5 linked regions of the Callithrix jacchus genome follow. The protein of the gene in region 5 interacts with the protein of the main gene of each other region in a pairwise test. Links are inferred from orthologs where the notes say so. Each region holds a gene or a part of one and is shown on either strand. Other genes may lie near its edges.

Region 1 (5,800 bases), on a different chromosome or scaffold from region 5:
CCCCTTTGAGTATTCCAAGTTTCTTTACATTCCAAGATTAGGATTGAATAGTGATAATGTAAAGTGCTCAAAAAGTTTTTGCACTCTTCAAAATAGTTTTTTTTTTAAGTCTACTGGCACAAATACATATAGCATTGGGTGATTTACATTAAGCCAATAATTACTTGTACCATGACCTATGTATATGGTTGAGTCCTCTTAGGACCACTAGGGGGCTCTGTTAGAAGGGTTTATATAATTTATGTCAGTCCACTTAGGGGGAATGTTTTGAGATATTTTATAGAGTTCTGAACTCTTAAAACTTGGAAGAGATAATCCAATCCAGTTTTCTCATTTCGCAGATGAGGAAATCAAAGCTGGCAAGAGAGCTGGCATGGGAGTAAACTGGAATTTAAAATTCTCCTCTTGGTACCTGGGGCAGGAGTTTAAGAAATTCTCTTTTGCCTTATGCCGCCACTGATTCACCTCCATTGGCTATTTCCGTATTTGGTGCCACAATTATAATTACTTTTGCTAAGACCATGTGTTTGTGATATTTTTAAAATAAGATATTTTATTGGTTGGCTAGGTGAAGGCAGTACATGAAGTATAAACTTCTAAAATAACATCTTTATTACTCATTCTAAAATGTTCTATTCAAAGTGTTTCTCAGTACCATATCATTATTACTATGAGCCTTAGAAACCACTCTAAAAAAAAAAAATTATTATTATCTTTAGAGATGGAACTTCACCATGGGGCCCAGGCTGGTGTCCAACTCCTGGGCTCAAGCGATCTGCCACCATCGGCCGCCCAAAGTGCTGGGATTACAGCACTGAGCCACCGTGCCCGACCAGAAACCACTTTCAAACTGACTTTCCACTTAAAGTATTTTGCACTTTTTGTTCTGTTTTGTTTGAGACAGATCTGTCGCCCAGGCTGGAGTGCAGTGGCCCGATATCGCTCACTGCAACCTCTGTCCCCGGGGTTCAAGCGATTCTCCTGCCTCAGCCTCCAGAGTAGCTGGGATTGCAGGCGCCCGCCACCATGTCTGGCTGATTTTTGTATTTTTAGTAGAGACGGGGTTTTACCATGTTGGCCAGTCTTGGTCTCGAACTCCTGACCTCAAGCGATCCGCCGTGGCAGCCAAAACATTTTACTCTTACGTGTACTCATTTATTCATTCAATATTTATTGAGTGCCTACTAGCACCAGGCACCTTTGTAGGCCTAGGTTTACAGAAGTAAAGCTCCCCTCCCCCACCCCCAGTGCCCTGAAAAGCACTATAATTGTTTCTATTTCTCCAATTTTCACTTTTATATGAATTTTCACATGCTTTAGTTCAGACATGGGCACAAGAATGAGTGAGAGAGAGAGTGTGTCTTGGGGCCATCCTACACTCTAGGGATGGGCACAGGAGTGAGTGTGTATAGGAGTGGGAGTATGTGCTCGCGCGCGCGAGTGTGTGTGTGTGTGTGTGTGTGTATCAAGCTCTGTATTATCTAAATAGGTCAAAGATCAACATCTGGCTTCTAGATCCATCATCAGGCCTCTCCACGTAATACCTGTCTCAAACCGGATCTGATTCAACAATAACCAGCCTTAATTCAATAATCTGTGCTACCTGAGATGGTGGGAATAATCTTGGTACTATAAATGTTGCAGAACAAAAACGACTGCAGCGGATTTTCTGGGGCTACACCAACTGAAAATGGGCCGGATCGAGTTCCGGGAGAGCGTTTTCCTGCACTAGACGTTTTCCCGCACCCGGCGTTCAGCCACCGGGTTCCGGGTCTAGCTGAGTCAGGAAGGCGCTCCAGCCGATTGCGGCCTCGGGAACCGTTCGGTTGCACCCGAACCTTCGGTCAGAGTCCAGGGGTTGGCAGCCCGGACCACAGCACCCGGGTTTAAACAGAAGTGGAGGCGCCGGGGAGGACCGGCGGTCCCGGCCAGTTTGGAAGGCGCACCCTCCCGGCTCCAGACGCCGGCAGGGCGGAGTCAAGCGGCCGCAGCCCCAGTCGAGACGCGCGCTCGTGGCTCGGGCGAATGGGGGCTACAACGGGAGCGGCTGCGCCGCCCGGCCGGGTCAGCATCATGCGCATGCGCGGACCCGGCGCCATTTTGGTGGCCGGGCGCGGAGGTGATTCCACACTGAGGAGAGCGCGGTGGCCGGGGTGGTAGTGGCAGTGTTCGTGTGCTCGGGTCTGAATCGCTGAGGGAGGAGGCGGTGGAGGAAGAGGTGGCGGCGGTGGCGGTGGTCGTAGCGGTGGCGGAGGAGGCGGGTACGAATCAGCTGCGGGCGGAGACATGGCCAACATCGCGGTGCAGCGAATCAAGCGGGAGTTCAAGGAGGTGCTGAAGAGCGAGGAGGTCAGAAATGAACTCCCGGACATCCCCCACCTCTGCCCGGGCGGGAGGGTCCTCCCAGCGTGACCCCGATATCCCCGGTAGTCCCTGGGTGGCCCTCCTTGCGGCCGCCCTTCTGCCTGTGGGGAAGCAGTAGTGCTCCCCTCCTCCTTCCGCCGCCTTCCCCTCCCCTCCCACAGCGCTAGGATGGACGGTCTCGGCGGGCGGGGGGTCTGGGGTGGAACACAGTTTGGGGAACTGATGGACAGGGGGGAACTCCTCGGCGGGATGGAAGCTCACGAGAGAACCCGAGGCGGTGGCCACAGCTGGAAGTGTGGCTCTGGGGTGGGGAGGGAGCAGGCCGAGCCCGAGAAAACCCGGGAAGTGGGTTGGGGGAAGGGGAAAGGTGGTAACTGTATCCGGAGGAGCCGGTGCTGCTCTAAGGCCCACACTTTTGAGGATATTCTGGGTTATTGCCTGTCAGGCCGTCACCGTCCTTTTCTTAGGGAAGGAGCGGTGAGTCCTTAGGTATCGATTAAAAAGGAAGGACATTCAGAGTTAGTCCTTCTTAGTTGGGTGTTAGGAGTCAAGGGGAGAATAATAGAATACTGTCTTATTCGGTGGCAGGGATAAGGGAATTTTCACCTCTGTTAGCAAGTTAATTCCAAATGAGATCGTTATGTCTTTTCCACTTTACCCCCAAATTCCTAGGCCTCGTCTTTATCGACATCTCAGTCTTTGAGTGGGCAAAGGCAAGGTGTTTGGTGTATTAAAGACATTTAAATATTTTTAGTTAGAAAAAAAATGGAATGTAAGAGTAGCTTATTTCAAAATATTGTTTACAAGTTACAGATCAGAGAGACTGTCCTAATACAGTACCTCTGTGACTAGTGTTGTGCCACGAAACTTCATTATGATGTCCCTCATAGTTAACTTGATTCTTACTTTTGAAAAGTAGACCTATTAAAAACGTGTGCTTTTACCAGATTAATACACTGTTTTATCTCTTTATTGAGTAGATTTATCACGATATAGCAGATTTTCAAAAAAATTGCCTCCCGTTGCTCTTAAATCCTGCAGAATTTAGATATATTAGTACGTTTAAGTAAGATATTCACAATGCTCTAGTAATTTGACTCAGAATTACATAAGTATTAGTACAGTTTTTCATACCAAAAATCAACAAGAATACCAGATTGCCTTCCCCACAAGGATTAAACAAAAAGTAATACAGAAAATGGTTATTTTCAAGATTCACGTACCATTATTGAATATATCGTTGCTTTTGTGTTTTTTCTTTTACGGTTAGTACTTCGATAATGTCGATAGTGATTAGTGAAATTCAGCATTCTAAGTATGTGATGAGTAGACATGAAGAAAAAATTGTTTAAAATTCAAAAATGACAAATAGGCTTCTTGAAAGTAGTAGTATGTAAGTCATGATCAGTTTTACAGAGCATGTGTATGAACTCTGACCTCTGTTCATATGCCAAAACTCTGAATGGAAGGATGACTTTGTATTTTGTGGTACAGTGCAGAAACAGAGTCATAAGTGTTTGTATTGATAACAGTGAAACAGCAATTTTAACTTAATATGAAAATGTATTCCAGGATATTTGACATATATACTTCTAATGGAAGATAGCAGCTAATATTGTTGCCAACAACCTAAAACATTTCTTGTTTAATAAGGTTGTAGAAGCTTGAAACTTAATAGACTTTTAATGCTTTATTTTCTATTACTGAAAAGTGGTAAGTTACTACTCTAGTAATTTATATGGTCTCTGCTTTTTATGAGCTGACTTCACCGTGGTATTCTTAGTACTTAACTTGAAGATTACCAGAAATACTTGTATTGCTCTCTAGTAATGCATATTGTTAAAATAACACTGCTCATTATACATAAGGGATGATGGTTTACTTCAAATAAGTATCATAAGCGTTTCAGAAGAAGAAAATAGGGACGACAAACTTTTTTTTTTTTTGAGAACAGTACCTATAGAAATATGGAAAGAAACTTCTTCTAGGAAAATAAGTTGCAAAGAACATTTAGGAAAAGTTCACATCACTTAATCTTGGAATAAATATAACCAATAAATAGCTTATTTTCACCATTATTTTTTGACATTTTAGTGTCCCAGATCTATAAGTAGATTGTTATTTTCAACTCATTGAAGGACTTGTAGTACAGTCCATGTGTTTCCTTTTTAAGGGTGTAAATCCAGTCTTTTGAATGGCTGATCAAATAACTATTTCATCATGTCACTTTTTTGGTAAATCTGCACTTTACCAAAGTTTATTTCATATGCTTGTGTGCTTGTGTTTAGTAAGAACACTGGTTGATTTAAGGACTTTTTGGGGTGGCCTTTTAAGTGTCTTTGTAGAGATAGCTGACGCTTGTTGGATTGTGGTGGCCATTCTTAGAGTGTGTTAATTAAAATACAGCCAACAAGATAAATGTGAAAAGCAAGATACAGAATAGTGTGGGAGAGGCCACCATTTGTTTCAAATGGAGGGGAATATGTGTATTTGCCTGTGCAGGTAAAAGGTTTCATGAGAAATTGGAAAAATTGACTGCTTTCTGTGTAGGGGAATTGGGTCTCTGGGGCATGGGGAGTAGATATTTTTTGAATTATGTGTCATATGAACGTGATTTACTCAAAAAAGGCACCATTTGGCCTCTTTCCCTTAAGACAGTGTTTGGAAATTTGTCAGATGTTTCTTTTTAATTTATTAATATTTATTTTCTTTGTTTTAGATGTTTATTTTTAAATATGAGTATGAATTTTAAGTCGTTTTAAATAATATTCCAAAGTTGTTAGGCATGGAATATTGATATAAAGTACATTTTATAATTATTTTATGAGTTGGATTACATAAGTAAATTGTTGATTATGAGGATATAAAACCCTCTGAAGAGGCACATCTAAAAAAAAGGATAATTATTCATAGGTTGTATTTTTTACTATTAATGCTGCTATTAGTAACTAGCTGCCATTTGTAGAATGGCTGGTTGTTCTTAGTATCATTTGTTTATACATTATTGCTAATTCTCAAGAACAGTTCTTTAGATTTCCTATTTCCTAGGTGAGAATATAGAGATTCAGGCAAGCTAAATTATTTGTCTGCAAACATGGAACTTGGGATTTGGATCTAGGTCTGCTTGTGTTCATATTATACCATGCTGTCATGACTTTCCAAGGATAGGCATGCTTTTATTTATTTAAAAAAAATCGAGCTTGGTTTGTATTACTGGTTAAAGGATTTAAACACAGTTCAATCTCATTGAAATAGTGTTCCCTATAATTTAAGATTTAGTTGAATTTCTGAGGCCGGGCGCAGTGGCTCATGCCTGTAATCTAAGCACTTTGGAGGCCAAGGTGGGCAGATCAACTGAGGTTGGGAGTTTAAGATCAGCCTGACCAACATGGTGAAACCTCATCTTTAAAATATATATATATGAGAAAAAAACCCA
Region 2 (5,788 bases), on a different chromosome or scaffold from region 5:
CTCTAGGATGGGCACAAGGTGCAGGGCTATTTCCTTACATGAGTAGGTATTTTAAAGCCTGGGCAGGAGATGCCATGCTGTAAATTCAAAATTAAAAAAAAAAATTAATGCGAACCTTGTTTTTAACTTCAAGAATAGTCTTTATACTATTCTCCACCACCTTCCCATTGGCTGGGTAGAAATAAGGATCACCAAATGAGAACAGGCTATTTACTCAGAGCTGCCTAGGGAGGTAGCCGCAATCACTTGGTTTGGCAGACTCATAGGCAGGCAGGGGAATGGAAAAGCTCTACATATAGCGAAGAGGGAGAAACTTCAAATTGGCTCTCATTGGTGGCTGCTGGCACCGGGAAGTTGGAGGAGGGTTAACTAGAAGCAGAGCTTCTTATGTGATTGGTTTTGGGGGAGCACATTTGGCTTTTTCTGATTGGCCCAGAGCTGGAAGCAGCGGCAAGAAATAGGGAAGCTGCCAGTTAAAAAGACCAAGTCCTGACCATTCTGGGCCGATTACTGCAGAGGTCATGGGTAGGAGTTTTAATGTCACATAGGTTTGGCCATTGTTTGTATATTCAGTCTCAATTGCACGAGACCCAAATTTTTAGTTTCTCTTGACCTAGTTAGCTTTTAGCTCCAAAGTTTTGTTTAACTTGAGAGAAAACAGCAGTTCTATTATTTCTATCAAGAGTGAACAAAGACCTTGGGATCTGAAAAGTAATTATGGAAACATACAAAAATATCTTTTTTTTTTTTTTTGAGACGGAGTTTCTCTCGTTACCCAGGCTGGAGTGCAATGGCGCGATCTCGGCTCACCGCAACCTCCACCTCCTGGGTTCAAGCAATTCTCCTGCCTCAGTCTCCCGAGTAGCTGGGACTACAGGCGCGCGCCACCATGCCCACCTAATTTTTGTATTTTTAGTAGAGACGGGGTTTCACCATGTTGACCAGGATGGTCTCGATCTCTTGACCTCGTGATCCACCCGCCTTGGCCTCCCAAAGTGCTGGGATTATAGGCGTGAGCCACCGCGCCTGGCCAAAAATATCTTTATACTGAGGGCCAGGCAGAAGAATCACTCTCTGCCTTCAGGTTCTGCATTTCCTTACAGAATTTCTATTTCCATTATAGCTGACGCTTCAGTAGCTTCCCTCCCTTTGGGGGAGTCCCGGCCCCTTCCACCCCCACTTTCTTGAGTGTCGCCCTTCGAAGGCAGGAGAAAGGGTTATGCACTACCAAGCTCTGCGCCTTACAACCCAGTTTCTCCCCCCACCACCCTTTCCTCCTAGGTGCGCTCTCTCGGCTTGCCACCCTTCCACCAGGCCTCCCCACTCCCCCTGAGCAGCGCCCCCTGCGCGGCACCCTCACAACCCAGCTCCTGCCCCACTCCCAGTTACGCCTCCTCTCCCAGTTCCTTCCCGACAGGTCTCCCAAGATACGCCCTCACAGTCGGGACCCCTGCGGTCCTCTCCGGGCGCGCGCTCAAGCCCGTTGCCTTCCTCCTGCAGCCCCCCGAGGCGCACTCTCAAGCTCCGTGCCTTGGCCCCCAGCCCCCCAGGGTCGCCCTCGAGTCTGGTACCCACCCTATGGGAACCCCTCAGGCGCACCCTCAAGCTCGGTGTACCCGCTTTATCATCCCCAGGCGCGCCCTCTGCCCGTGCCTTCCCCCAAGGCGCACCCTCAAGCCAGGAGCCCTACCCCTACCGGGCGCGCCCTACAGGCCAGCCCCGCCCCTCGGCGCAGCGCCCCCCGCGCGCGCTCTGGAGTCCTCCCTCCTGCCTCCAGGCACTGCCAGTCCTCTTTCCCGCCCCCACGCTCAGAGGTGAGCCGGCGTCCCCACGCCGCTAGCTCCGCGCCTTCCTGCATGGACCCTCGCCCCGAAAGGCTCGGAAGCGGCCCCCTAGGCCCGGCCTCAGCCTCCCGGGCTCGCAGGAGACGTCAGGTCAGCTTCCTGTCCCCGAGCAGCTGCCCTAGGGCCAGTTTTCAAAACATATCCTTGGTCATGGAATAAGCAGATCCTCCTCTGGTCTCAACTCCCAATTTTTACTTTGGAGGGGCGAAGGCAGGGCGACCCTTGCCAGCCACTATTCCCCAGTCGCTTCGCAGCTGTGGAAAGCAGCCCTCCTGTCCCTTCGGAAAGAAACTCGTATTCCCCCTCGAACTTTTCCTGTCGGTGTGAAAGAAGAGCCCTCCATTTTCTTCTCGGGAGGCTTTCGCGGCCCGGCTTCTTCCCACCACCAGGCAGGGGAGGCAGTGACGCCGCCGCCGCGGCGGCCGAGGTTTCGCCATCTTGAATGGAGGAGGAGCCGCGGTCGCCGCCATGAGGAGAGACAGGGAAAGAGGGAGGAGGCAGCGGGCGGGCGAGCTGGCGAGCGAGGGAGGGGCAGAGGCGCCGAGCTAGCTCAGCCCGGCGGCGACTTCGGCGGCGCCACGAGAGCGGGCAGCGGAGGAGGTAGGGCTGGATGGCCGGGGGAAGCCAGCGGTGCTGGCGGCTGGGCTACGCGGCCCTCGGTGTGAGGCGGGGCGGGGGGGCGGGCGGGAGGAGGCCGTAGCGAGGGGGCCGGGTGGGGGCGGGCGGAGGTTTCCGAGGAGGAAGGAGCGGCCGCCATTTTGGGAGCTTCGAGTCAACAATAAAGGACCGAGGGCGCTGAGCGGGAGTGGCCTCCTTGGTGGGACTCGGCCGGAGCCGCGAGGCCAGGGGTGAGGTGGTGGGGTCGAGGTCGGAGGTGCTGTGGGGGCTGCGGGGAGTACCCCGGGCCGTCTTTGAGGGGCTACGTCGGGCGGAGGCCTAAGGCCTGGCCGAGTCTGGGGAGGAAGGCGGGCGGCAGCTGTTTGGGGTGGGGGCGCCTGAGAGGAGGCGAATATAGGAATGTGGTGCGCGGCAGGGTCGGCAGGAGGAGTGGGCTAAGTGCTCGGAGGAGCCTTATGGAAGTCGAGGGAATATGAGGCCGAAGGGGGCGGCCAGGACTTAGGGGGATGATGGTGGAGGTTATAGGGTACGAGGCGGCCCTATAGGGGGCGGCAGGGACGTTGTATTGGAGAGCTCGGTTTGGAAGCGAACCCGCCGCTGCTTGATTGCAGTAGGCCTTGCGGGTCAGTAACAGGAGGGTGCTAATGGAGCTCCCGACTGTTGGAGGAAAGGAGGGGGATTTCTGGGTTGGGGGGGTCCCTTCGGGGTCTCCTGGGGAGAGTCCCTATTGTTTCCTACTGGCGGAGCTGGTTGCTGGCTCAAATTGCGCAGATAGGATTGCAGAGCCCCTACCTTTTGTGTTTATGTTCAGAGGGAGCTGACTTGAAGTGTGTTTTGAGGGGTGAGGGAGAGGGCGATGAATTATTTCCCTGCAGTTACGCGGCTTCCGTCATTGACTTGTCTCTTTCCCTGTCTCTCTCTGTTTTCTCTTCCACAGCCCCCTTTTTCCCTTCAGAATAAAACCCTGTCACCCCAACTTGCAGGCAAAGCTTAGAGAAACTGCTGCGCTGCATTTGCAAATAAAAGCTCTTGTTGGCGATGACGATACTGTTTTGGGTGTGAAACTGTCAATTGCTAACTACGATCTGAGGAGTGCTGTAATTAACTCGCTAGGGGCTCCTCCCAACTAGTCTACGTTTCTAGTCTACGTTTCTTTTTTCTTTCTTTCTTTTTTTTTAATGTAGAGCGATAACTTGCAAATCTAAATTGGGAAGGGGTAGGAGGAATATTTCCTTCTCTGAGACAAAGCTGCAGTGCAGGTTTCAGTTTAAGAAGGGAGCAGTTACCACATAGTCTCATTTTGGATTTAAGGAGATAGGAGCTCTTACTGTGCATGATGGACGGTAATGATGATATCATTTGGTCTTTAGAGGTTGCCCTTTTCATCCTCTTAGTGCTTTGCTAACAGCTAAGTCTGTGTGAACTGCGTGAATCGCTGATCATAATATAAACCCGTCAATACAGGAAAGTAGCTGTTAACCATATCTGCTTAAGAGGTCAGAGTTAGAAGGACTTCCGAATAAACAACTTTGTGTATGTGATAATCAGGATTTGCTTGTGAGCAACTTGTTCAGTTTTTTTTTTAAGGAAGGCGTAATGAAGGAGCGTTTTCTCATAAATTTTGAGATCTGTTGACTTGAAAATTTTTAGTTTCAAATGCCTTGGGTGTATAGCAGAATCAACACTCGTAAGCTAGTGTATTTTAGGTAAGAAATGTAATGGGGTTGCCGGGTGCGGTGGCTCACTCCTGTAATCCCAGCTCTTAGGGAGGCCGAGGCGGGCGGATCAACTGAGGTCTAGAGTTTGAGACTAGCCTAGCCAACATGGCGAAACCCCGTCTCTACTAAAAACAGAAAAAATTAGCTGGGCGTGGTGGTGGGTGCCTGTAATCCCAGCTACTTGGGAGGCTGAAGTAGGAGAATCGCTTGGCTTGAACCTGGGAGACAAGAGTTTGCAGTGAGCCGATATCGTGCCACTAACACTACAGCCTGGGCAGCAGAGCTGAACTCCACTTCAGAAAAGAAAAGAAAAGTAACGGGGTTAAATGAAAAGCCAAGAGAGTAGGGCTTTGTTTTCAGGTCTTTGTATGTTTTTATTAACTACAATTAAAAGTAAGATTTAAGCCGGAGCGGTGGCTCACCCCTGAAATTCCAGCACTTTGGGCAGGCACTTGAGGTCAGGAGTTGGAGACCAGCCTGGCCAACTTGATGACACCCCGTCTCTACCGAAAAATACAAAAATGAGCCGGATCTGTTATCTCGGCTACTCGGGAGGCTGAGGTAGGAGGATCACTTGAACCCAGGAGGCGGAGGTTGCAATCAGCTGAGATCGGGCCACTGCACTCCAGCCTGGGCAACAGAGTGAGATCCTGTCTCCAAAATAAATAAATAAATAAATAAATGTGAGATTTCCATTTACAGGATAATTTTAAAATGAGGTTGGCCATTTTTGTTTTGTTTTTGTTTTTGAGGCAGAGTTTTGCTTTTTTGCCCAGGCTAAAGTGCAGGGCGCCATCTTGACTCATTGCAGCTTCTGCTTCCTGGGTTTTAGCGATTGTCCTGCCTCAGCCTCCCAAGTAGCTGAGATTACAGGTGCCTGCCACCAAGCCCAGCTAATTTTTGTATTTTAGTAGAGACAGGGTTTCACCATGTTGGTCAGGCTGGTCTCGAACTCCTGACCTCAGGTGATCCACCAGTCTGTGCCTCCCAAAGTGTTGGGATTACAGGCCTGGGCCACTGTGCCCATCTGCCAGTTTTTTTTGTTTTGTTTTGTTTTGTTTTAAGTATTAATTAGATTTACTACTCTGGGTTTCTTGGAAAGTTTTTTTTTTTTTTTTTCCAGATGGAGTCTTGCTCTGTCACCTAGGCTGGAGTGCAGTTTTGCCATCTCTCCTCACTGCAACCTCTGCCTCCCAAGTTCAAGCAATTCTCCTGCCTCAGACCTCTGAGCAGCTGGGACTACAGGCACATGCCACCATGCCCAGCTAATTTTTGTATTTTAGTAGAGACGGAGTTTCATCGTATTAGCCAGACTGGTCTCAAACTCCTGACCTCATGATCCACCCGCCTTGGCCTCCCAAAGTGTTGGGATTACAGGCATGAGCCACCGCACCCAGATGGAAAGTTTTCTTTAAATTACTAATGCGTTTAGTCTTTCATGGATTTTTTTTTTTTTTAGCACAGGAATTTTCCTGTTTAATTAATACTATGTAAAATCAGATTAGTTATTAGCTGAGTTTGTTATAAATGAATAAAATTATTAGAGTCATCTTGTTTTTGTCAGTTTCAAAAAAAAAATAATAATTTATACAAAATTTGTGTGTATCA
Region 3 (5,877 bases), on a different chromosome or scaffold from region 5:
CGCCCGGGCCTGGGGAGGGGAAAGAGGCGGGGACGAGCCCGAAGGGGAGTCACGTGACGCTTAAAGGTCCGTCGCACCGAACGCGAGGACTGAACAGGTCGAGGGCTTCTACTTGGCGAATTTATTTTGAACCTTGCCACTCGCCGTCTGCGCGTGGACCTGGTGCGGTTGCTACAGGAACGAGGCGCGCTCTTCGGTTGTAGCCAAAGGCTTCATCGTGAACCAAAGAGGCCAAAACGTGCCTCCTAGCGAGGCGAAGTCACTATGCATCATGGGATGCCAGAAGGACCTCCCCGATCCAGGAAGGCGTTTCCGCTCCTGCCGGGAGGTGGCCCTCGTCTAGCAACAGTTGCTAGGAGGGGGACGCAATCTTTTGTCCCTGCTCTCTTTAACCCTATTCATAGAATCCTAGAGCGTCAGATTGGAAGGACCTTAGGGATTTTTCAACTTTCCAACTCTTCCATATATTGATAGAGAGACTGGGGTCCAGAGCGGGGCAGGGATTTTCCCGAGGCCTAGAATCCAGGATTCCTTCTATTTTTGTTTATCTTTTTTTGAGAGAATCCAGGACTCCTAATCGCGTTTACTAAAAAGTGAGCTCCACCCAAGGATGTTCCAGTCTCTGTCTTAAGCACAGGGAAAGGAGGTGGGGGGGGGGGGAAATGTCACAGGTGAGTGAGAGAAACTTTGAGCCAGTGAGTTAGATCCCTTGGGGATATAAAGCACTTTCATATCTCCCTACCCTGTTTTTTTTTTTCTCTTTGCATTTATCACTATCTAACATACTATGTCTTTCATTTATTTCTACGGTCTCTTATTTATTTATATCTGATCCTCCTACTGGAATGTAAACTCTAAGAGCAGAGATTTTGTTTTATTCACCTCCATGTTCTCAGTGTTTGACTACAGGCTCAATAAATATTCGTAGAATAAGTGAATAAATGGGGCTGAGGTGTTGCAGTTCAAGCGATTATATTCTAAGACTCTTAGATTCTTCGAGTATGGCCTATAAAGTCAGATTCGGGTTTCAATCCTGTCCACCTCGGCCACTACTACTCATATGACCTTAAACATCCGTTTCCCTGAACCCTAGGGTCTCTACATCTGTAAAATTGGCGGAAGGCGGGGGGCGGGAATACTTTCTTGGCAGGATTGTAGTTAGGGAGAAATGAGATAAGCTTGAAAAGTGGTTAGCACGATGCCTGGGACTTAGCAAATGCCCACTAAACAGAAACGATTATTTTTGAAATGTGAAAATGAACTGTTCAAAACGATGGGAGGTTAGAGGACTAGATTACTGCCAGCTTTTTTTTTTCTGTGTGAGAGGTGTTAGGGTGGGAGGGAGGGAAGAGGGAAAGGAAGATTGTGTAAAGTGGGCTTGGTCGGATCAGACACTCGAGTTTGGAACAGCCATCTGCGATGTGGGCACAGGGTTGAGGGGGGGAGCTTATGGTTTTATTTGGGGTGGAGGAGGAGGCTAAGGGGAAGCCATGCCCAGGAGGAGGTTGAATGGGGCGGGACAGACCATGGCTCCACAAATGGTTTCCTTTTTGCTAGAAGTCTGACAACTCCTTTCGAACCTCTGTAAAAGCGGGGCCGTAGTGAATTCTGGCGAGGGGCCCGCCGTGGACCAGGAACTGGTGCCACAATTGCAAAGGGGCACCTGCGCCCGGAGGGGGCGGTGACGCGGGGGCTGGGCTGGGCCCTGGGGGCGGGGCGAGGCGCGGAAGTGCCGCCTCGGGACGGGGCGGTGACGGAAGGATGGATCTTGGGGACGTGATTGACTTTGGGGAAGGGGTGGGGATGCGAGCTGGAGCCTGAGGCTGGGCAGTGACGCAAGGACGATTCTGAGGGTGGGGTAAGTGGAGGGGTTGATTCTTGGAGGCGGGGCGGTAGCGCGAGGCTAGACCTTGGGGGCGGGGAGGTGGCACAAGATTAACCTTGGGGGAGGGTTGGGGCGCGGGTTGAATCCTGGGGCGGGTCGATGACGCAAGAGCGAATCCTGGGGGCGGGGCGAGGCCTTGGAGATGTGTCCTGGAGGCGGGGCGGTGACGCGAGGGCGGGTTCTGAGGCGGGGTAGGGAAGTGACGTTTCGCCTTGGGGGCGGGGCGACGACCGGAGGGGCGTCCTAAGGCCGGGGCGGTGACGCAAGAGCGACTCCTGGAGGCGGGGCGAGGCCTTGGAGATGCGTCCTGAGGCGTTGTAGCTAAGACTGACCCGGGGCAGTGACGCGGGGGCGGGATCTGGAAGCAAGGGCGGGTCCTAGGGACCTGGGCGCGCTGCCGAGGCCCGGAAGCGGACGGTGGAGGCTGCTCGCCATGAACGAAGCGGACCGGCTGCTTCTGCAGCGGCACCGGCGGCTGCTGGTGGAGGAGCTGCGGGTGGACCAGCTCTGGGACGCCTTGCTGAGCCGCGAGCTGTTCAAGCCCCACATGATCGAGGACATCCAGGTGCGCCCCCGCCCCCGGCCTCCTGTTCCCGCGCTGCACGACCAGGTCCCCACACCCCTCGAAGAGCCATTGTGTGGGAGCCCAGCTTTCCCTGTGGGTGGGTTCTAGTCCCCCAGCGGAGCCAAAGAATCCCAAACACCTCTTTCTTAGTCGGGTGTTCGCTAAAGCGATTCCACGCCATGCTCAGAGTACACTGTTAGTGCAGGAGTGTCTTGTGTAAATGAAAAATGTGAGACACATTTTGAAAACTGAGTAAGAAGCAGTTCTTGAATTGGAGAGCATCAAACTGAAAGAGGTTTAGTGTTGCAGTGGCAAAGCGTCAGAGGCAAGTATTTATTGGGAAAACGTGGAAGCAAAATAGAGGAATTATTTGATTGGTTTGCAGTTACAAAATTGCCTTTTTAAAAAAAGGTCTTCATTGTTTATGCTTGCTTATGATTGACTAGAGTTAAGTTTTGCTTCTCTCTAACATAAGCATTTATCAGATATGACCCAGGTTAAATTTTGCTTATCTTTGCAGTTTAAACAATATTTAGGTCACTTAGGATGCCTGATTAGTATTGTCTGCTCAGGAATTCTTCAGGGTTAGTCTCCATTTTAATTTACTTTTTAACACTTGCAAGGAAGGAGGTGTGTGTGTTTTTGCTTTTCTAGCGTAGAGGTTTCGGCCACCCGCTTTGGCATCAGACTGCCTGGCAGCCTGTTCTTGGGCCAGTCACTTACTCTCTTTGAGCCACAGTTTCCTGGGCTGTGAAATGGGAATACAATAATACTGTAATGAGGACTAAATGAGTTAATGGATGTGAAACAGTGTAGAGCCAGGCACAGACCCTCAGGCTGTCTGCCCTGCCCTCTTAGGCCAGCCCTTTCTGTGTTCAATTTATGTTTTGTTTAGAGGTTTTGGAAATAGGGGACCTGATGCAGGCAATGGAGAATAATAAAGTCAAACATCTAAGGTTTTCTTTAAAATCACTTTCCCATCTTTGTCTCACGTGACCCTCACCACAGGCCTGTGAGGACAAAGGAGTTATTTCCCACCATGAGGTACAGTGGGTGTGAGTGGCTGGCTGGATATCCCCAGCCGGTGCCCTGGTCCCAGTGAAAGAGCCTTTAAATAATTGAGTATCGGCCGGGCACAGTGGCTCACGCCTGTAATCCCAGCACTTTGGGAGGCCGAGGCAGGTGGATCATGAGGTCAAGAGATCCAGACCATCCTGGTCAACATGGTGAAACCCCGTCTCTACTAAAAATACAAAAAAAAATTAGTTGGGCATGGTGGTGCGTGCCTGTAATCCCAGCTACTCAGGAGGCTGAGGGAGGAGAATTGCCTGAATCCAGGAGGCGGAGGTTGTAGTGAGCCGAGATCGCGCAATTGCACTCCAGCCTGGGTAACAAGAGCGAAACTCTGTCTCAAAAAAATATAAATATAATAATTGAGTATCATATGAGTAATTATTCATTAATAATAAAAGAAGTCTTGTGACTTCTGTGTGACCCCTACTGGGGAACAGAAGTGGTTTGAGGCCACAGTCGTTGTTTTCAGGGATGTTCACAGGGATCAATGCCCATGGAGGCTTGATGGATGGGCATCATAGTGGATAGCCTTTGCACTGCCCTCCGTCTCCAGCTGAGGCTGGATATGGCCATATCCGCACATGGCCCAGGATTGCCAGATCTTTTGCTTCTTCGGAGGCAGGGTCTCATTCTTGCCCAGCCTGGAGTACAGTGGTGAGATCATGGCTCACTGCCACCTTGACCTCCTGGGCTTAAGTGGTCTTCCTGCCTCAGCCTTTAGAGTAGCTGGGACTTTAGGCACATGCCACCATGCCCGGATAACTTAAATTAAATTTTATTTTTTTGTACAGATGGGAGTCTTACTGTGTTGCCCAGATGGGTCTCAAACTCCTGGCCTCAAGTGATTCTTCTGCCTCAGTGTTGGGATTACAGGCATGAGCCACTGCACCCAACCCAGCTTTCCCATTTTAAGAAAGAAGTTGGAAATCTTGATTCCTCTGTCAAATTCCCTGGCTTAAATCCTGGCTTAAAATGTTAGCAACAAATTCAGAAATTTTTAAAGAACTTTGTGGGAACCACGGGTTGCGATTTTGCCACCCTGGTATGGCTGAAAAACCCACAGGTTTTGGAGCCAGTTGGATCTGGACTCTCATCCTAGCTTTGTTACATATTGGCAGGTTGTAAAAAGCCACACTCGATGAACCAAACAAACAAAAACCCTTTCTGTGACTCAATTTCCCTGAAATTTTTTGCCCTAAAATGTTGGGAAATTGAAATTTAACTTTGTAAGGTTATTGAGGGAGAAAAAGGTGAAACAATGCATTTAACACAGTGCTGACCTCCTGGAGTGCTCAGCAAATGTGGAGAGAAATCCAACCACCACCATCTGTTTGCACATAGTCAACTGTTCTGCTAGTGAGACTCAACTACAGGTCTGTGTTGTTCACAGCAGTAGCCATTGGCCACATGTGGTTAATTAAAGGTAAATTTGAAGTAATTAAGTAAAGTTAAAAATTCAGTTCCTCAGTTGTACTACCCAAGGGCTCAATGGTCACGTGATACACGGTTACCGTATGGGACAGTGTCCACTAAGAATATTTCCATCATCACAGAAAGTTCTCGTGGACAGTGCTGCTATAGGGTGTTTGAGGACACGGTGCCATCTTATCTCTGTGGATCCTGAGAACTTAACCAGTGCTAGGTCTCTGAGGACAGGTGGCAGATAAACAGAATCTTCCATCTGTCTTAGTCACTGACCCCACCATCCTGACGCCTGTCAACTTTTTTTTTTTTTTAATTTTTTTGAGACAGGGTCTTGCTCTTTCGCCCAGGCTGAAGTGCAGTGGTGTTATCACAGCTCACTGCAGCCTTGACCTCCTGGGCTTGAGCCATCCTCCTGTCTCAGCCTCCTGAGTAGCTGGGACCACAGGCATGTGGCACCATACCTGGCTATTATCTTTGTTTTTTGTAGACACAGGGCCCCGCTGCATTGCTCAGTCTGGTCTCAAACTCCTGGGCTCAAGTGATCCTCCTACTTAAGCCTCCCAAAGTGCTGGAGTTGCAAGCATGAGCCACTGAACCTGGCCTGTCTGTCAACCTTGATCCTTGCTCTGCCTTCATAGTCGCCTAGTCAGTGCCCACATCCTGTGGCCCCTCCCTCTGTGTCTTGTCTTTGTTCTTTCACTTCTCTCTATTCCAGCTGCACTGTCTTTGCTGCCTCCTGTGTCTCACTCTTTTCCATTTTTCACCCTGACCTCAGGAAGATTTTTTGAAAAGGTATATCTGTCTCTGTCACTCCATTCTTAAAACTCTTACATGGCTGGGCATGGTAGCTCACACCTGTAATCCCAGCACTTTGAGAGGCCGAGGTTGGCGAATCACATGAGGTCAGGATTTTGAGACAAGCCTGGCC
Region 4 (5,684 bases), on a different chromosome or scaffold from region 5:
TACTTTTAGGAGACCACAGTTTTTATTTCTGTCACCTTCAGAGAAAATATACTTTGTGTCCTGACCTGAACAGCATCCCAAATACCATACCTTGGACTTCCTGCACCTCAACAACACCAGGTGAGAAGCACCTGCTCAACTCCTCAGCTGCCTCCCCTTCCACGGGCTCAAGCAAGGTGATGTCGGGCAGGAGCCTGTAACTGGCTGTTGCCACTGGTGAAAACTTGGCATGGTCTTTGCCTGGAGGGGAAGAAGGAAAATCTGCCTATAGGAAACCCTTCTTCATTCTTCCTAAGCTACTTACAGCAAAAGACATAACCCTGTTGGCTTTCTACCTTTGGGGAATATCTTGGCTGAGTTCCTCAGTCAGTTGGCCCCACTGCCCTTCCCAGGAAGGCCCAAGGGTTCTCACCAATGCCCTTGACACAGTGCATTAGCAGGTCAATTTCCTGGCCAGGCCGTAGCTGAGCAATGAGGATATCATCATGCACTGGTCGGATAGTGCCCTCTGGGAAGAGATCAGCCTGGTTCCCCAGGGGAATCCATGTCATATGCCTGGTATACACTGCAGGAAAAACGTGTCAGAGGATCTCAGTCCCTAAAACTAGCAGCCACCCACAGGTGGGCCCTCTTCCTCACTCTACCACTACTTACCTTTGTGGTTCATGTACAGTTCGTTGGGGTCAGAGGAATCTTTAGCAGCATGGGGGTTCCGAGTACATCTGACTTGAAGACGAAACTGTAGAGTATCTATCTCTGTGCCTTCTTCATCTCCTGCACCAATGGAGAGAGCTCTTAAGAACTAGTAAATATCTGAGTGCCAGCACTATGCTGAATGCTTTACATATTTCCCATTTAATTATCTTGGCAAACTTGGGAAGAGAGGGCAAGTGTTCTCACAGATGAAAAACACTAATATACTTACCCAATGTCACAGTCAACCAGGATTTAAACCCAGACAGTCCACTTCTCCCAAAATTTCATTTTCTCACCTTGGTTCCGATACTCAAAAAGACGGGGGTCAGCATGAATGGGAATGAGCCCCAGACGGTGAGCAAGGATCTCATCCTGAACAATAGATGTGTTGTTGTACACCAGGACCTTCTCCACAGCCATAGTTGGCACCTGCCCAAGGAAAAAATCACTTATCAGCAAAAACCCAATAGACCCCCTACCTATCCCCACAAACTCCAACCTCCAGAGGTAGGGAGCTATCTCTCTTCCTAGAATGTTTAATGAGAAGTTTACAAAGAATGAGAAGGTAAAATCCTTAGCCAGCAAAACTCCAGGAAAAATAAGAAGGGAAGGACAGCTTGAGACACTTAATTCTCCAAGTGACACTCCAAGTGTCAGTGCAGTTCCCAAAGCAAATCCAACCTTGTCACCATGCCTGCCAATACCTCAGCTAACAGAATTCGTCGAAAAGCATTGGCAATGGATGCATCAATTCCCACCATGTCAAACTCCAGTGAGTTTTCATCCATGTGTACCACATCCACACGGAAATTCTAGAGGGACAGGAAAAAGATTAAGTGAAGCCTGCTCTCTTTGTAATAGCTCTTCATACCTCCCCCTCAGATGATTCCAAGTATTATCCACTCATCCAAAAACCACCCTTTGCCCAGACGTCCCTTATTAAATGTTCTTTCTCGTCCAGTGCTTGCTTTAGGTTCATGAAAAGTGTCCATTTTTTGTCTTCCATTCATTAAAACCCTATCCAATATGGCTCCCAACCAAACCATCCACAGAAGCTATTGTCCTAAGAACAGAAACCCACCTCACTGCTTAGTCATGCTGACACTAGACAGTCCTTTTACTAGACGTCTGTTACGCCTGGCATTGATTAAAAAAATCCCCTCCTGGAAAGGCGCAATGGCTCATGCCTGTAATCCCAGCATTTTGGAAGGCCAAGGTGGTTGGATCACGAGGTCAGGAGTTCGAGACTGGCATGGTGAAACCTCATCTTTACTAGAAATACAAAAAACTAGCCGGCCATGGTGGTGTGCACCTGTAATACCAGCTACTCAGGAGGCTGAGACAGGAGAGCTGCCTGAATCCAAGAGGCAGAGGTTGCAGTGAGCTGATATCCTGCCACTGCACTCCAGCCTGAGCAACAGAGACTCCATCTCAAAAAAAAAAAAAAAAAATCCCCTCCTTTTTTGAACTATTCTCCTGGCTTCTGAGCTCCATTCTTCCTTCTCTGATGATCAACAACGTCCACCCATCTCTAAATCTACCAGGTTCTGGTCTCTCTCCCAGGTGACCTTAACCACACTAACAACGGTTTTAGCAACTATCTGTGCTGACACCTCCCAAAATTTTACCTCCCTTCTGATCTCATTTCAAATATGCAGTCTTCTAGCCTGCTAGATTTCTCCAAATGCAGGAAACGACGTATCATCATTCCTCTTCCCCAGACCCATTTCTTCTCTCAGTAAATGATACCACAATGCATCAAAGCAGTTCCCAAGTCAAAAAGTCATTTTATGCTACCCCAACAGCCTTTACCAAAGCAATCACAAATTTACCTTCTTTCTTCCTTTGCTCTCTTTCTACCGTCAGTCTTAGTTCATACCTTCAACCTCAGCTTCCCTTACAACAGATCTGCCTGCTCCATACGATCCTCTTCAAACTCATTCCCTCCCAGCTATCAGGGTTGCAAATCTAATCATGTCTGCTTAACTATTCAAGCTCCCTATCATCAACAGTGCCCAAGACACACTTCAATCTTGCCTACCACTAGTGCCAGAACTGCTTGGACATTCCCGGAGCACAATTCACACCATAACTTTTTTTCAAGCATTAGCCTTTTTCATTGTTCATACTTTATTCCTGTATCAACAGGTTAAAAAAAGTAAAATTTTCCCAAGCACAGATTTATAGATCATGTTTTATAAACTGCACACACAGTTCAGTTGCATAAACAGTAACATTCAGTGATCTATTTAAATGCAATTTTAATCCTTATTTTAAGCTAAGTGAAACAATAATAGACTAAATACACACAAAACCTGTATATCCTCAACTTCACTGACCTGAAACTCAAAGCCTTCCTAATTTAACTCCTGTTCTTTACTTACCGTTCAAAGCTCAATTCAGATCTTCCCTCCTCAAGAAATGTTAAGTACCTCTGGGCCCCTCTTCCTGGTCTCAGCATAATGTTCCCCACACGAATCCTGCCATCTTCACAGCTATCAACCACCTTTACCATATTAAACTAGATTCACTTGTTTATACGCACCATTCCTCAACAAGACTGAACATCTTGTTTGCAGAACTGGGTAGAAACTGTGTCTAACTTGGCCTGTAAACGGAGGTCTACCACATTGCTCAACAAAACTTACAAACGGAGCGACCCCCAAGAGCAGCTACTGAGACAGACACATGCTGCTGAGACCACAGGGTCTGGCCCTCCTAACAATCCCCGGACAACTCTGGCCCCACTGACCTTCTCGAAGCGTTCCTGGTCCCAGGCATCATCATAACCGGAATAGTTACCGGGAAAGTCAGTGGTATGGACCTAGAGCAAAGGGATGAGTTTGTCCACAAATGGACAGTGAGCCTACGGCTATCCCCACGCCAATCCCAAGACCCATCCCTGTTCCGCTCTCATTCCTCCCGCCTGAGCTCAAGGACACAAGTCTTACATTGCGAACCCCAAACTCTCCTAGAACCACGCGGCTCCGCATTTCTTCCACGGCCTGAGTAGCCGCCATGTTCAATCTCTCCAAAAGACTACAGGCTCTAGCTGGCGCGTGCGTTCTAGCAGCACTGCTCCATCTCCGTGGCAACGCACCGCCTCCTGGAATCTTAAATATCGCGAGACTTTGCTCCACCTTCATCCACGTCCCCAATTTCCGGAAGTTGGTTTTGTCCAAACATCCGGGTTTCTCCTTTTTGTGTTCCGGCTGATCCCACCTCTCCGCGACCTGGGACCTCTCCCTTCTTGGGACTCACATCTCGCACACTTCCCTGCGCGCGGGGCTATCGCGGGCTTCAGCGACGGGAGCCCTCAAAGGGCATGGCAACTACAGCGGCGCCGACGGGCGGCGCCCGAAACGGAGCTGGCCCGGAATGGGGAGGGTTCGAAGAAAACATCCAGGTAATGGCCCCAAGGCACCAGATGCCAGCAACCCGAGGGCCGGCGATGTCCAGAAGTGTCTTGGGGATTCTCCCTCGGGGCCTGGAAGTTCACTCCATTTGCAAAACTGCCTTCTTTGGGTCTTGCACACAAAAGTCAGTGGAGTTAACATTGACCTGAAAGGGCCAGACTAGTCTACTACTCCAGCCTGAGGATCTCGGGTCTCTGGGCCCGCCCGAGGCGTTAGGAAGAACGTATTCTTGGAACAAGTTAGGAGGTTGGTTGGGGTCAGGCCTGGAGTGGGGTTGGGTGGGATTCACTGGCACTCGCCGAAAACATACTGTGTTCATAGTTTTGTTTGGGGCTTTGGAAAGACAGAAATGGATTCTTTTTCAAGCTTTTAGTCTTTGATAGGTAAGGTAGGAGAAAGACATGAATGGAAGACTAGTTGGTTTCCCAGGCTAGAAAAGATAGCCAAAGCTATAAATCAAGCGTTCTGAGAGCAAATGAGGGGGAATGGAGTGGCATGATCTGTAGTGATTCCAAGCCGTATCCTCAGCAGTGGAAGAACAAAGCCCTAAGCCCTGGGATGAGCAGAGGACTTAATGGATGGAACAGAAAAGTCCTGCACTCTAGGAGCCATTGTCTTAACAGGGCGGAGGCTCAGCTGTGATTGACATGGAGAACATGGATGATACCTCAGGCTCTAGCTTCGAGGATATGGGTGAACTGCATCAGCGCCTGCGCGAGGAAGAAGTAGACGCTGATGCAGACGCTGATGCGGCTGCTGCTGAAGAAGAGGATGGAGAGTTCCTGGGCATGAAGGGCTTTAAGGGACAGCTGAGCCGGCAGGTGGCTGATCAGGTAAGCAAGATGGAATCCCCTGCAGGTGGAAAAGTAAACCTAGGTGTGTCCCATGTCCTGGAGTTGGTATTGGTGTGTCGCCCCAGGTTGTCCTGGTAGAAATCAAATGGAAAATAGGCAACAGGGTCTAATGCCAAGAGTTCCACAATACCTATGCCCATCTTCCTTCAGATGTGGCAGGCTGGGAAGAGACAAGCCTCCAGGGCCTTCAGCTTGTATGCCAACATCGACATCCTGAGACCCTACTTTGATGTGGAGCCTGCCCAGGTGCGAAGCAGGTGAGGAGCCTTCTCTTGAAGAAGCTTCCCTCCTAATACCTACTCCTTCATGCACTCTACAAGCCCTGTGCTCTGGTGGGCTCCCCCTCTTCGTGACCTCATCACCTCTCATCACTGCACCTGTCATTGAACACAAATAATCATAACACAGCGCCTTCCTCCTCTTTTCCATCTAGCCGACTACTCATCTTCCCTCAAAACCTACCTCAGATGTCACTTCCCCTATTCCACATTCCTCAATCCCATCCCCAGTTTGTTCTCTCCTGGTATTCCTATAGAACACTTGCCTCCAACAGACAGCACTTCAGCACTGCCATCCTTTCATATTGCTGGAATTTTCCCCCCAGAGCAGGCTCTATCTTGTTTATCTTTTTATTCCCAGCACCAGAACAGTCTCTGAACCAGAATATCAGGGCATAGTTTTTGAGTGACTTTTCAAGAACTAGATATAATCCTGGCTT
Region 5 (5,767 bases):
ACCTTGCACGTCCTCTCCTCCTGCAGCTGCCTCAGCTGCTCCTCCATGTCCCTGGCCCCCGGGGGCTCCAGGACCCACCATGCCCGCCGGGCCTGGGTTGGACTGGCTCCTCCTAGGAGATAGACCTTTGAATGCACCCTAGCCCTGGCCCCCACCCTCTATGGGCTGTGGAAGGTGGGCATCACCCAGCACCCCCGGTGCCATCAGCCCTCCCCTGGCCCAGCCCCACCCTGGGGAGTCCTGGGCCTGTACCTGGCTCCTGGGTGCCCTCAGACTGGACTTCTCTTCTGGGCATGGGCAGCTCTGGGTCCCTAGGGGCAGGGGCTGTGGACAGTTAGCATGGATTTGAGGTCTTGCTCCCAAGGGGAAAGCCGGGCTGACTCGAAGACAGATCCACAGCTTGTGGCGTCCAGTTCTGGCCAGGAGCGGAGGGGCTTCAGAGTCCCCCTGCTCCCACACCACTTCCCACCCCTCCCACAGCAGAGCAGAATCCAGAGGCTTCCTGGAGGGGCTGCCAGAGAGCCTGGCCCTTGTCCAAGGCCCTCTGCACATCCAGCCCCTCTGGCAGTGGCTGTGGCCGCTGTGTGCTGGGCACTGTTGGGGGTGCTGTGGCAGGCGGCAATGGGCTGTGCCAAGGGGTGAGCTGGGGGAAAGCAGAGTTAGGGCCTGGCATTGGCGGGAGGCCCCTGCTGCCCCATCCCCATCCTCATGGCACAGCCCCCATGAGGTCAACCCTGGTGGCACCTCACACCCAGTCATGCCCATCACTGTCCTTGCTGTCTGGCAGGGTGGGGACACCCAGTAGCTTTGGCCAAGCACAGGCTGCGGGTGCCCGAGGAGGCAGCCAGGGTGGTGTCGGCTCTCACCCGAGGGGGCCACAGGGGCTGCGTCTTCTGGTTCTTCCCACGGGTCCTGGAAGGAGCCAGAGAATGTTGGTGCCTTGGGGAAACAGGAGGGGCCGGACCCCATTGCCTCCCGGAGCCCCGAGGAGAGGTGGCGCTCACCCAGGAGCCCAGCAGCTGGGAGTGAGCCTCCTGCACACTGTGGACAAAGTCTCTCCCTTTAGACTGGAGCAGGAACTGACACCTGCAGATGCCCCCAGATGTAGGCTGGGGCTACGAGCCTCCTGTCAGCTTCAGCCCTCAGAGCCCCTGGGGCCAGGGTTGGGCCCCTCCTCCCACTGCCCTGCAGTGCCTGTGGGCATGGGCTGGGGGGGCTGCTTTGGAGACGCCTCGTGGGCCTTCAGGGTATTTCCGTGGGAGAGGAATTTCTGCCCTCAGCAGCCCTTCCCAAAAGGGGCCCTCACAGGAAAAGTGGGTACCTGCCGGGCAGAAGCACCATCCACAGAGGGGCCTTCCCAGTGCCCTGTGGGGCCAGGGAGGCAAAGCAGGCCTGGGGTTGGGTTGACAGAGCCCTTCGGGGCCCACCATGACCCGTGATCAGACCCAGGGTGCCGGGAGCAGCCAGTACCTGGGGAACCATTTGGCATGCTCTGTCCAGGGATCGTCCCCGCACTTCCAGCTCTGCAGGCCCCCATAGCAGAAGAAGCACCTCACCTTGTCCTGTTGGCCTGGGTTGTGACAGAGATACTGGCACTAGCCAGGCCCCACCCAGCCCCAGGACCCCCGCTTCGTCCTTCCAAGGTTATGAGAGCTTGGGGTGGAGGGGTGGGGAGCTCCCAGGTCGTATCAGGGAGGAGGGGTGGGCAGGGGCTTGGCGGGTGATGTCACATGCACACCATTTGCATCAAAAGTGAAGGGGACAAGACTGTCTGGGTGCCAGGCAGGACGGGTGAGAAGGTTCAGGAAAGGACTGAGCTGGCATTTGCATTGTCCACAGAGTGAGCGGTGGGGGCCCCCCAAGGCCTGGCACATCTATAGCCCTGGGGCTTCGGGAGTCAGAAGGGCCCCTCCCCAGGTCTCTGCTTCCCAGAATGGATTACAAGTGAGCAGAAGGGGGCGGCTACCCTAGAAGGCCAATCTGGTGCCAGGCTTGGTTTTAGGAACTCATGCCTTCCTTTGGGGGTGGGAAACCCCTCACTGCTCTACCTCCTGGCAGCTCCATCCCCTCATGGCAGACATGGGATATGTCACCTGGCACTGCCATCACAGGTCTGGGCTGCAGCAGGCGCTGGACCTCTGGACCCCCAAAGAGCCCTGCTCTGCAGCTGCTATACCTTCGGCCCGGCCTTCGCCTGCTGAGCCTTGGACCTCCGGGGAGGTGGGTGAGCTGGGCCGGCCCCTTCACGATGAGGCTCCTGACTGTCTCAGCCACGGTCCCCACCCCCAGCTGTCTCATGTTGGTCTGGCCTTCCCAGGACGGTGCCCCCCAGAGCCCATTGCTGACGATGACCAAGGCTGTGCCAGTACTTGTCCCTCAGCCAGGAAGGGGCAGAGCTAAGACCTGAACTCAGGTCTGACCACGTGGTCCCAGATGTAGGGCCGAGGAGCAGGCCCAGGCCAAGACTAAGATAGGGGCTCTGGGCGCTTGGTTCCGTCGGGGAAGACCAGACAGTGGCTGTGGGCTGGGGCCTGGAGAAATTCCCCACAGACTGAGTGGCCAGGACCTCGCAGCTGAGCACTGCCTGCCTCGGTCACCCTGATCTGTTCCTTAAACATCTCACCCCATGCAGACCAGCGGTGGGGGGAAGGTGAGGGCCCCAGGCAATGTCAGCCCCTCCCACTTATATCACAAAGGGGTACTTGCACGCCCAGGTAGCAGCCTCCACAGCTGAGACTCCCAGACTGTGGCCAGAGGCAGCCCCTCCTCCTGTCCCACAGTCTAACAACTAGGCCAGCAGAGACTCTGGGGGAAAGTGTCAGGCACCAGGACATGGCCACTGAAGGGGCTTACAAGACCATTCAGTCATCAGGCCGGACCCTTCCCTCTAGGGTATGGGTGCCACGAAGGAGGCAGAACCCTGGGCTGGAAGAGTCCAGAATCATGCCCAGGGCCTCAGCAGGAAAGCCCCATACCCCAGGACTGACCTGTGTGGAAGAAGCCGGCAGCGGCCAGCAGCTCGGGCGGCACCCCAGCGGTCAGTGGCCAGTCATAGAAGGAGGCCAGACGCAGCTCCTCAGAGCCCATGCCGGGGAAGGCAGGACCCCTGGGCGAGGTGGCCCCGGCGCCATCCTCCTCTTCCTCCGCTGCCAGGGGCCGAAGCTGGCCCAGAATCTGCCCATCCACGTGGTCCCAGGCTCTGAAGGTGTCCAGGCCCAGGACAGGGCAGCACAGAGTGTGGGGGCCACGGTGCTCCTCGGGGCTCGGCTCCGGCCCACGGTGCAGGCACTTGGCACTGTCTTCAGGCCCCATGGAGGGAATGGCAGCTCTGGCCAGCTCTGCAGCAGCAGTGGGGCAGATGGCCAGTCCCAGAGGATGCCTGGCTGCCCTTCTGGAGCTCCTGATCCCCGCACCCACCCGGGGACAGCAGGGATAGGCACGGCGTTGCCACCAGTCACCCTGGGTGGGGAATATCCTGGGGCCTACTGCTTTCTGGAAGAGCCCAGGGTGGCCTCTGGGATCGCATGCTCTGTGCATCGGGGGCGTGTCATGGGGCCCCTGGCAGGGTCTCAGATTCCGCTCACTGCACGTGGGCAGGCAGTGTCTCTCCAAACCAGAGGGGAGGGAACTGAGCATGGAGACCCTCCCCCAGGCTGGTGCCTGCCCCGGGCTGTGGGGGACCGGTTGGGGAGCCAGAGATGATGGCTCTGGGGTCAGGCGCCCAGGGCAGCCTCTGGAAGCAGAGAAGGCTCAAGTAAGAATGGATGGACTGTGCGGCCGACCAGGCCGGGGCTGTGAGCCCCCACCTTTCCGGGGTGACTCTGGCCGCACAGGGCCTAGTGCCGTGTCATTCGGGGCTGGAGCGGGAGGCAGGTTACCCGGGTGTTCTCTGAAACATCCTCTGTCCCACGGGGCCTCCACAGGTCTCGGAGCAGCTCTTTTCCTCAGGCCATGAAGATCAGAGCAGACAAAAAGGCCTGTGCTGCGCTCCCCTCCCCCGGCCCCTTCCCATCCCTTTCTCCCCCTCCTTCCCCCACCTCCCTCCACTTCCCCCACCTCCCTCCACTTCCCCCACCTCCCTCCACTTCCCCTACCTCCCTCCACTTCCCCATCTCCCTCCACTTCCCCCCACCTCCCTCCACTTCCCCCCACCTCCCTCTACTTCACCCCACCTCCCTCCACTTCCCCCCACCTTCCTCCACTTCCTTCCATCTCCCTCCACTTCCTCCCACCTCCCTCCACTTCCCCCACCTCCCTCCACTTCCCCCACCTCCCTCCACTTCCCCCACCCCCCATCTCCCTCCACTTCCTCTTATCTCCCTTCACTTCCCCCATCTCTCCAGTTCCCTCTGTACCAGCCTCCCCAGATAGCCAGGAGAGAGGCTCTGATGTCCCCAAGAGAGGTGCATCAGTGTGGGCACTGGGATTGGAGCTCTGAGGTTGGCTGTGACTCGAACCCCTGGTCCAAGCTCCACAGCTGCGCCATGCTGCACAACTCCCAGCGAGGGAGCAGGGAGGGGGACTTGACCCCAGAGAAGCCCAGGGGTGGAACAGGAACCCCAGGGACACCTGGGCGGGACAGAGAGAACAGATGGATGGGCCCAAGCCTCACCACTCCCCAACCCCCTACTGAGCCCTCAACCCCGGCAGCTCATCCATCTAGCTGGCCCTAAGAGTCCCCTGTCATCGTTCAGCCTCTCTCCCCTGCTGCTCATCCTGGAAGGGGTGTGCAAGGTCACAGAGTTAAAGGAAACGAGAGGAGTCGCAAACTATGGGGCTGCTGGTTGCTGCAGGGAACACAAGCAAGCAGGAGAGGGTTAGCCACGGTGGAAGCCATCCATGGTGAGTGCAGGCGGGCAGAAGAGGGTTGGCCACGGTGGAAACCGTCCATGGGGAGTGCAGGCGGGCAGGAGAGGGTTAGCCACGGTGGAAACTGTCCACGGGAGCACAGGCGGGCAGGAGAGGGTTAGCTGCAGTGGGAACCACCCACCTGGAAGCCTGGCTGGCAGGGCACCAAAGAAGCTGGCCAGTCCCCCATCGCATGCCCTGCCAGGGGGACAAGAGAATTGTTCCCATTTCGCTATGATGGTGCCCTTGAACTCCAGCCTGGACCCTGTCTCAAAACAAGCAAACACCAAACAGCAGCAACAAACCCTAGCCCCACATTCCTCCAGAGAAGGATTCGAGGTTCCCTTCGGGCTCCTTCAGGGACCCTGCGATTAAACCTTTCTATGCTGTGACCCAGCATCATGGCATCTGGACTTGCTGTGAGGGAGCATCAGCAGCTAACCAATCACTGTTACCAGAGACAAGTAGGGCTGGGAGGGAAGAGAGGATCCCTGCAGCCAGATGCCGGCTGGCTTCGGGATTCCCTGGGAATCCCGTCCACCCAGGACAGTATGCCAAGCCCTGTGCTGAAGCCATGGCCACATTCCCTCACTGGATCCCCTCAGTTAGCCTTTGAGATGGGCACAGAGCTTATGTCAGAGGCTCAGATGGGGCATGATGAGTTGGCCAAGAGAGGAGACGCAGGCCCAGGAAGCCTGTCCAGGGAGGCGGCGGCAGCCACTGTGGGGAGTCCGGGACCCTCTCTAGAGGAGACATCGTCTCCGGGATGGGTCTGTCCAGGTGAGGCTGTGTTGCTCCTGGCGCCTTTCCTGAGGTTTCAGGGAAGGGGTGGAAGGCGATTGAGTGTCTCCTTGGTGGGGCTGGCCCTAAAATCACAGCAGAGCCCCTTCCAGCATCTGCTACCTTTCAGTGGCTGCTG

Evidence for each region.
Region 1: the proteins of BIRC7 (region 5) and UBE2K interact in binary tests that used the Homo sapiens proteins (3 or more experiments, as listed by UniProt). The link is inferred for Callithrix jacchus from reciprocal best matches to the Homo sapiens genes BIRC7 and UBE2K.
Region 2: the proteins of BIRC7 (region 5) and DDX6 interact in a two-hybrid assay, tested with the Homo sapiens proteins (3 studies listed by BioGRID and IntAct). The two-hybrid records come from large-scale screens. The link is inferred for Callithrix jacchus from reciprocal best matches to the Homo sapiens genes BIRC7 and DDX6.
Region 3: the proteins of BIRC7 (region 5) and CASP9 interact in binary tests that used the Homo sapiens proteins (3 or more experiments, as listed by UniProt). The two-hybrid records come from large-scale screens. The link is inferred for Callithrix jacchus from reciprocal best matches to the Homo sapiens genes BIRC7 and CASP9.
Region 4: the proteins of BIRC7 (region 5) and POLR1C interact in binary tests that used the Homo sapiens proteins (3 or more experiments, as listed by UniProt). The two-hybrid records come from large-scale screens. The link is inferred for Callithrix jacchus from reciprocal best matches to the Homo sapiens genes BIRC7 and POLR1C.

The regions. Positions count from the first base shown.
Region 1 is NC_133504.1:154,117,781-154,123,580, reverse strand, and holds the start of UBE2K (ubiquitin-conjugating enzyme E2 K), read left to right. Parts: upstream 1-2,097; 5' UTR 2,098-2,286; coding exon 2,287-2,349; intron 2,350-5,800. UniProt on the Homo sapiens protein: Accepts ubiquitin from the E1 complex and catalyzes its covalent attachment to other proteins. In vitro, in the presence or in the absence of BRCA1-BARD1 E3 ubiquitin-protein ligase complex, catalyzes the synthesis of 'Lys-48'-linked polyubiquitin chains.
Region 2 is NC_133511.1:18,431,565-18,437,352, reverse strand, and holds the start of DDX6 (putative ATP-dependent RNA helicase DDX6), read left to right. Parts: upstream 1-1,782; 5' UTR 1,783-1,814; exon of another isoform or gene 1,815-1,934; intron 1,935-2,377; exon of another isoform or gene 2,378-2,444; intron 2,445-2,599; exon of another isoform or gene 2,600-2,692; intron 2,693-5,788.
Region 3 is NC_133508.1:52,840,383-52,846,259, reverse strand, and holds the start of CASP9 (caspase-9), read left to right. Parts: upstream 1-2,155; 5' UTR 2,156-2,318; coding exon 2,319-2,450; intron 2,451-5,877. UniProt on the Homo sapiens protein: Involved in the activation cascade of caspases responsible for apoptosis execution. Binding of caspase-9 to Apaf-1 leads to activation of the protease which then cleaves and activates effector caspases caspase-3 (CASP3) or caspase-7 (CASP7).
Region 4 is NC_133505.1:51,997,997-52,003,680, reverse strand, and holds the start of POLR1C (DNA-directed RNA polymerases I and III subunit RPAC1), read right to left. Parts: upstream 3,740-5,684; 5' UTR 3,717-3,739; coding exon 3,648-3,716; intron 3,521-3,647; coding exon 3,449-3,520; intron 1,509-3,448; coding exon 1,401-1,508; intron 1,126-1,400; coding exon 993-1,125; intron 775-992; coding exon 655-774; intron 566-654; coding exon 413-565; intron 241-412; coding exon 91-240; intron 1-90. Other genes in the region: protein YIPF3, read left to right, coding at 4,022-4,102, 4,736-4,945, 5,117-5,223. UniProt on the Homo sapiens protein: DNA-dependent RNA polymerase catalyzes the transcription of DNA into RNA using the four ribonucleoside triphosphates as substrates.
Region 5 is NC_133506.1:58,737,043-58,742,809, reverse strand, and holds the start of BIRC7 (baculoviral IAP repeat-containing protein 7), read right to left. Parts: upstream 3,322-5,767; 5' UTR 3,313-3,321; coding exon 2,988-3,312; intron 2,639-2,987; exon of another isoform or gene 2,094-2,638; intron 1,571-2,093; coding exon 1,471-1,570; intron 1,087-1,470; coding exon 1,005-1,086; intron 913-1,004; coding exon 867-912; intron 644-866; exon of another isoform or gene 325-643; coding exon 253-324; intron 113-252; coding exon 1-112.